Stegostoma tigrinum: one gene and its partner. The protein of the gene in region 2 interacts with the protein of the main gene of each other region in a biochemical or structural test. Links are inferred from orthologs where the notes say so. Each region holds a gene or a part of one and is shown on either strand. Other genes may lie near its edges.

Region 1 (3,751 bases), on a different chromosome or scaffold from region 2:
TGACTGCGTGGAGTCTGTACATTCTCCCGCTGCCTGGGTGGGTTTCCTCCCACTGTCCAAAGATGTGCAGGTTAGGCGAATTGGCTATGCTAAATTGTCTGCAGTGTCCAGGAATTGCAAAGTAGGTGGATTAATCATGGGAAAATATGATTTGACAAAATACTTCAATAGAATTTGTTCAGAGATGGAGCTAAACTGTATTAAATTATGTCACAAGCATTAATAAATCTTCTGCCAATTTATGATTTTATATTTCCTATACTTTAAAAAGGGAAATTAAAGGAATAGCCAAGCCACTTATTTAAACAAAGCAAAGCTGTTCTCAAAATTTAAAGCTGGTTCTGACTAAGTGTTTGATATCATGGCTTTGAAACTATTCCAGTTTCCACCTCCTACTTTCTTTGATTACTGTATGCCATCAGTGCCAACATCAAGGCACCAGCATCAACTAGAAGTAGATTAACAACTGGGTACAGACAGCACTTCAAGAGATGTATTAATATAAATTTCTTAAAATTAGAACAAAAATAATTACTACTTCTAAACACAAAGCTAAAAAGTAAATAAATGTGTCACCCACAGAAGCGATAAGCTAAAAACATTAAAATAGCAAGAAAAATTGCTCAGGTGAAAAGTGATGCAAAGGATTTCACGCAAGAAGCAAAGATAGTTCAAGAAGGCGAGTGTGTGAGTTCAGCTACACAAATTAGATAAACAGCAATTAGATTATAGACAGTGCAACACAGAATCAGACAGTACAGAAGAGGCCCTTCAGCCTGTCAAGAATGCACCAAAAAAAACCTCTAAATCTGTACTCAGATATAACAAAGTGTGGAGTTGGAGGACCACAGCAGGCCAGACTGCAGAGGAGCAGGACAGTTATGTTTCAGGTCGGTATCCTTCTTCAGAAATCTTCTTGAGGAAGAGTTCCAACCCAAAACATCGACTTTCCTGCTCCTCTGACGCTGTCTGGCCTGCTGTGTTCCTCCATCTCCACACTGGGTTTCTCTGACTCCAGCATCGGCAGTTCTCACTACCTCTAAAACTGTACTCATCCCACTTTCTAGCACTTTACTACTCGAGATGAGATTCCCAACTAGAAACGGGACATGAAATGCTATACTCCCACTTACCACAAATTTACAACTGTTTCACGAATGCAACAAAAATGCAGCATAACTCAGGAAGGGAAGTTATCATGCACATACAATAAGAACACAGTTGCAGTAGTTTCACTACATTTTCACTTTTCTTTAAAATGTTATCAACATTGATTAAAAGTTTGTGATTTTTTTTCAAACGATTATATGCAAAAAAGTGACTTTTCATATTTGCTTCATGTAGTTAACTAATTCTGAAAATTTGAGAGAGTTTGGATTCACAATCTAAATTTATCAACACACTCCTGAAGCCTCACTGTCACTTAAATTTCTGCTCTCATAAGTGCGGTTTTATTTTCAGCACCATAAACCCAATCATGAGAGTGTGGATGTTTAATTGTTATCATTTTATGAGAAAACTCCAATAAACATCTCTCCCGAACTTGACGCAACCAAATTGGACGGCAGGTTCCCAATAAACGATGGTTTGAGAAAATCCAAAACGCCTAAATCGGTAAACAGGCTCGATGTGAAAGCTCGGGGGAATACCAATTAAAATCTTGATCTGCCGTTTGAAAATTACATTCATTAGGGGTGATTTTTAAGGCTTGCTTTGGGCAAAGACGGCAGTGAACATGTTTACTAATTCTGATGCACTGAGCGCTATTTTTAAAGTTACACAGACGCTTCACGTTTCTTCCCTTCCTACAAGCAGCACCGCGCCTGTTCCCACATTCCAAGGAAGGCAACACGCCACTACCTCTTCCAAGGCAGTGAGGGATGGACAGTAAATGCTGGCTCACATACAACGACTGAATAAAAAAACACTTTTGGGGGTTTGGGGAAGAGGTGGAAAACAAGCGTTGGGCATATTCGTGAAAATTGTTAAAAAGACAAACTCTAACACAACCTTGTCAGGTAAGAGAAAGAAAGGGGATACTCTGATGAGCACATTCAACGGATTGAAATACATGGATTATGTCAGGTTTTTTTTGTTTTATTAGGAGGGCCACACGGAGGAAGGGTCACAGGACCCGAAGCGTTAATTCTGTTTTCTCCCTCCACGGATGCTGATAGACCTGCTGAGTTTCTCCAGCATTTTTGGGTTTTTTTTTTAAACACGCTGCGACTCACCTTGTGGGTGTGGGCTGTTAAATTCCTCTGGAATCCTTGCCACTCTTGGCAGTTGGTGGTGGTGGTGGAGATATTCCTCTTGTGCAGCCTCTGGCCGCTGCTACCGAGGAGCTGCTTCCCGAGCTCCACCGCCTCCGAGAGCCTGCCCTGGAAATCAAACACGGACAGGGACAGGAGCAACAGCAACAGCCCCGCCACTGCCCTCATGGTTTAACCTCTTTCGCTTCTTCTACGCCGGTCAACCTTCGGATTTAAGGCTACTATAGATGAACATACGTACGTGCAAAATATCAAAACGACATTACAAAACACCACAACAGTCCAACCCCCGCAGGTTTAAAGCACCAACAACAAACTGGCACCCGCCCCACCGGACGTCCCGCCCCTGGCAACGCCTCCCTCCAACCAGCATCGTGCCCCACCTCCACGCTGTCTATTGGCCTCCCGCCCTGTCAATCAGCACCTTAGGCCGGGAGAAGCCTGGTCCTTAAAAGCTCCCTACAGGTGCTCGGGTTGATGTTTGCTCCTTCCACACAGAAGCCTGGATGCACTGTCACAGATTCAATATTTACCTTTCACCCTCCGTCAAATGTGCTCGTTCCTTCGGAGATAGTAGGAACTGCAGATCCTGGAGAATCTGAGATAACCAGGTGTAGAGCTGGCTGAACACAGCAGTATCATAGGAGCAGGAAGGCTGACGTTTCGGGCCTAGACACTTCGTCAGATTTGGGGGGGAAGGGGGCTCTGAAATAAATAGAGAGGGGGAGGCGGAGAGAAGATGGGTGGAGAGGAGACAGACAGGTCAAAGAGGCAGGGTTGCAGCCAATAAAGGTGAGTGTAGGTGGGGAGTTAGGGAGGGGATGGGTCAGTCCAGGAAGGACAGACAGGTCAAGGTGGGGGGTGGGATGAGGCTGGTAGGTAGGAGATAGGGGTGGGGCTTGAGGTGGGAGGAGGGGATGGGTGAGAGGAAAAACTGGTTAGGGAGGCAGGGTTTGGGATGTGGTAGGATGAGGGTAGATTTTGAAGCTTGTGAAATCCACATTGATACCATTGGGCTGCAGGGTTCCCAAGTGGAATATGAGTTGTTGTCCCTGCAACCTTTGGATGGCAGCATTGTGGCACTGCAGGAGGCCCAGGATGGACATGTTGTCTGAGGAATGGGAGGGTGAGTTGAAATGGTTTGCAACTGGGAGGTGCAGTTGTTTACTGTGAACTGAATGTAGGTGTTCTGCAAAGCAGCCCCCAAGCCTCTGCTTGGTTTCCCCAATGTAGAGGAGGTCACAATGGGAACAGTGGATACAGTATACCACATTATAAGATGTGCAGCAGAACATCTGCTTGATGTGGAAAGTCTTCTTGGGACCTGGGATGGGGATGAGGGGGAAGGCATAGGGGCAAGTGTAGCACTTCCTGCAATTGCAGGGAAAAGTGGCAGGGCTGGAGGGGAGTGTGGAGCAGACAAGGGAGTCCTGGAGAGAGTGGTCCCTCCGGAAAGCAGATAAGGGCGGGGAGGGAAA
Region 2 (3,751 bases):
TCAGAATTCTTCTACGACCATCGTATCCAGGTCGACCCCGGACAATAACAGCCTGAATCAAAATCCACCCTCACATGCAGCAAACACTCAGAGATGCTAAGATGGAGAGAGGCGATTCCTTCGCTCTCACTTTTTTTTCAGAACTGTTCCGCTTTCAATGCCACGGGAAGGAACCTGTTTAGTTGCGGTAGCGCAGCTGGTGCCCAAAGCTGGAAGAAACCCTGTTTTGACGGGGAGTTACTTTTTTTTTGTTGGTTTCCTTTACGATCTGGTGCCAGGGGACCTGGGTGTAACAGTAGACACAGCGGGCTGAAGTGGAGCGCTGATGACAGCAACACGCTTAGGTGGGGACCTGCTCAGAGCGAATCCAAACTGCGGGCATCACCGTCACAGGGACCGAGGGAGAGAACCACAGAGCCTGTGGCAAGGCTGCTCCTCACGTTGCCATGGCAACCGGCATCCAATGAAAGCCTCGTCTCTGCTGTCTCACTGGCAACCGGCGAAGGGAAAATACTTTTCCTCGTCCTGAATGAAAAAGAAAGGACCAGTTCCCCCTGTCTGGCTTAATGTGGGAGCGTTAGCACACGGGGTAGGAGCGGGAGCACGCTCACCGGGCCGAGCGGCCTGCTCCGCTTCCCGTTTCTTAAGGTCTAAGATGGAAATCACCTTTCCCTTGCTGTGAGAGATAATGGGAACTGCAGATGCTGGAGAATTCCAAGATAATAAAATGTGAGGCTGGATGAACACAGCAGGCCAAGCAGCATCCTCCTGAGATGCTGCTTGGCCTGCTGTGTTCATCCAGCCTCACATTTCCCTTGCTGTTTTGTTTTGTGTAGGACCGGGGTGTTCGGGTGGGGGGGTGGGGAATTAGCTGGTTAAATCTAGTACATTGGATGTTTGGGTTTCTATCGGGAAAAGGGTCTACACTCTCACCGCCTGTACCCTGATAGTAAGGGCGATATCACAAAATGCCCCCGATTTCCAATAGCCCATCCCCTCTCCACACCGTCAATCCCTGTGGAATGAGTCTAGCTCCTGAGGCAAACTTCACACGCTGCATTCTGGAATACAGTCAGCCCAGAAACCAGAAATGACAAAAGAAAGACAAGGAGAGTTGGTCTCTTAACTTCAGCAGCGCGCGGTCTGTATATACAGTTATGTCTAGTGACCAGTCGCACCCAACCCGCCCACCCCAGCGAACAATCAAAATCAACATTCACACTAAAGGTCACCTCTCTTGAGGCACAGCACATCAGGAAGGGGCCGGAGACCACTTCCTAAAGACAATCGGTTACTGTTTATTAAATTATCCTTCTGCCCCCGTCGGCTACGGTGATCTGCAGCTTCACATTATTGTAACGCTGGGTATAGTTGAGCAAATCCCTTCCACACCCAAACCAAGCTCCAGTCTGAAACATGTTTAGTGTGTATGTGTGTGTGTGTGTTTGTGTGAAATAATAAGTTACGTTCAACACCGAGGGTATCGAGCGGTCCCTAACATTCTGCAACTGCATTTAGCTTTGGCTGATACCGAGTTCTCTCCAATCGGGAGCCCTGCCTTAGACCCTTACCTGCATTGATCACTGTCAGGGCAACTGCAAGGATTTTTGTTTTGATGGGGGAGGGTGTTGTGGGGATTTGGGTTTTTGCTGAAAACAGCGCCGTCTGCTGCTGCGAGTCTCTTGTGTTGTGAAGTGTAGGTGTGCGGTAGTATGCAGCTTCTGCGGGGTAGTCCTTCCCAAATAGCCAGAGCACCAGACCTCCTGGAGTTAGAGTCCCTTTCTCTATCCCTGCCTGGAGCGCCCGCTCGCTAAACAGCCCTTGCTCACTGACACGCAACTTTGAACCTAACCTTCTCCTGCACCTACAGTTCTCTCTCGCAAGCCGGGCACAGGAAGAATATTGGAACAAAAACACTTCGCCTGGCTCAGAAAATGCGATGAACTCTCAGAATGAAGCAGGCTAAGTGTGTGTGTGTGCGTGTGCGTGTGTGTGTGTGTGTGGGACTTGACAAGAGAACCTTCCAATCTCTGCAACATCACTGATCTCCCTCAACCAAAGTAAGCTCAAAATGCAAGTGGCCCCTGTCCGGGATACACAGGGAAGATCCTTACTGCTAGCCAGATTGGGCGAGAAAACAACACGGCAGATGCTGTTCACTTACCCTGCTATGTGCAAACGGCATCACATTAAACCATCCTTATCAACCCTTCCATTTCACAAAGTTACAATACAGTGACCTTGCCTGTTCGCAGGATATTTTCCTCACACTCTGCTTGTACCGTAATAAACTTCGCCCAAGCTGTTAAAAAAAATTCCAACCATCAGCTCTGCGCCTCAGCTGGTCTCGTAGTAACGCTGTCAGCTTTGAAAGATTTTTTTTATAGATCTAACCCTCTCCTTCGTGGCAATCACCGTCTGGTGACGCGATATCTTTGGATAGAGTTGATTTTTCTTATCCCCGAGGCCGAGACAGCTCAGGCTGTCCCGGGTGCTGAGAGACACACCTGAGACTCGCGTCAGGACCCCAGAAGCAGCTAATGGTTCCCTTCCTCCGACCCGCTACCCTCCTCCCCAAATACTCCATAACACTTCTATTTTCAGCACTTGCGACTTCATATTTGTATCAGATGCGACTTACCCACGCCGTGTCACGTGAATATGGCTTTGCCAGTCAGTCTGCTCCCCCCCCCCCTCCACCGCGCCCGAACCCCAGTAAGATCTGATGATCAGCTCCTTGCGGGGTAAGTCACCATACTGTACTGAACTGCACCCCCAGAAACCCAACACCCGGCGTTACCATCCAGTTCTTGCTGCCCTCTTTATATTTTCAATTACCAAAAGATGACAAGACACACCTCCCGGCGGGACTTGAGCCCTCAAACCTTCTGGTCCAGAGGTAGAGACAGTGTCACTGCACCACTGTCGATATCTGCCTCTGATCGCCCACCAAATCTCCAATCAATTGTAGATTTCCAAAGGAATGAGTTTAACTTAACTGGGGGGGGGGGGGAGTGGAGGGCGTATGCGTGTGTGTGTGCGGGCGATATCCCCCAGTGGTGTGAGAAATGCTCTCTCACCTTCCAATGGTAACGTGGCGTTATTAAAAAAAATAAGGGCGATCGCAGTTACTGACCAAAACCGCCCCCTCCCCAACCCCTCCACCCCTCCCTGACAATCCGCTTACCATCGTTAGTAACCGCCCAGGAAAGCGAAGAGGATTAAAATCCCGTCTCTCCAGTAGATGCTGGAAGGTAATGCGCCTTGTTTGAAGTCATCATGTGAACTTCTGCTTGCTCAGTCAATCGCCCACTACTTGTGAGTTATGAATGTAATAACTCTTTGCAATATCCGCCGCTGAAATCCCCGACACCTTAGTGACTGCAAGGCACACGTACGCAGAGGTGATTTAAGCTTCTACATTTACGCAACACATTCGCTCAGGGAGACGTTTTGGGGCTTACGTGATTCTAATGAATTAAGGAAATAATTGCTTTTGGAAATAGCGGGCTATCAGATCCTATATGACTGGTCTTTTCAGAACACTCAGTTCAGACACAGTGAGGACAGTATGCTGGGTTAAGTTAACGCGTCTGATTTTGTTTTTTAAAAAAACAGAACTTTTTTGCCCCTGTCTCGAAAAGTAGTTTAACTTAACTTCTTGCACACGTGGTTATCTTAACTATCGAGAACTATCGAGTTCAGCACAGGATCGAAGGGATTTGCGTAGAACAGGTAAGGGAGCACTTTT

Evidence for each region. The genes of interacting proteins can lie anywhere in the genome.
Region 1: the proteins of bdnf (region 2) and sortilin-like form a complex in vitro, tested with the Homo sapiens proteins (2 studies listed by BioGRID and IntAct, with this or other methods). The link is inferred for Stegostoma tigrinum from reciprocal best matches to the Homo sapiens genes BDNF and SORT1.

The regions. Positions count from the first base shown.
Region 1 is NC_081374.1:17,176,843-17,180,593, forward strand, and holds the start of sortilin-like, read right to left. Parts: upstream 2,609-3,751; 5' UTR 2,442-2,608; coding exon 2,235-2,441; intron 1-2,234.
Region 2 is NC_081370.1:53,222,378-53,226,128, forward strand, and holds the start of bdnf (brain-derived neurotrophic factor), read right to left. Parts: upstream 2,278-3,751; 5' UTR 2,186-2,277; coding exon 2,165-2,185; intron 388-2,164; exon of another isoform or gene 242-387; intron 228-241; exon of another isoform or gene 131-227; intron 1-130. UniProt on the Homo sapiens protein: Important signaling molecule that activates signaling cascades downstream of NTRK2. During development, promotes the survival and differentiation of selected neuronal populations of the peripheral and central nervous systems.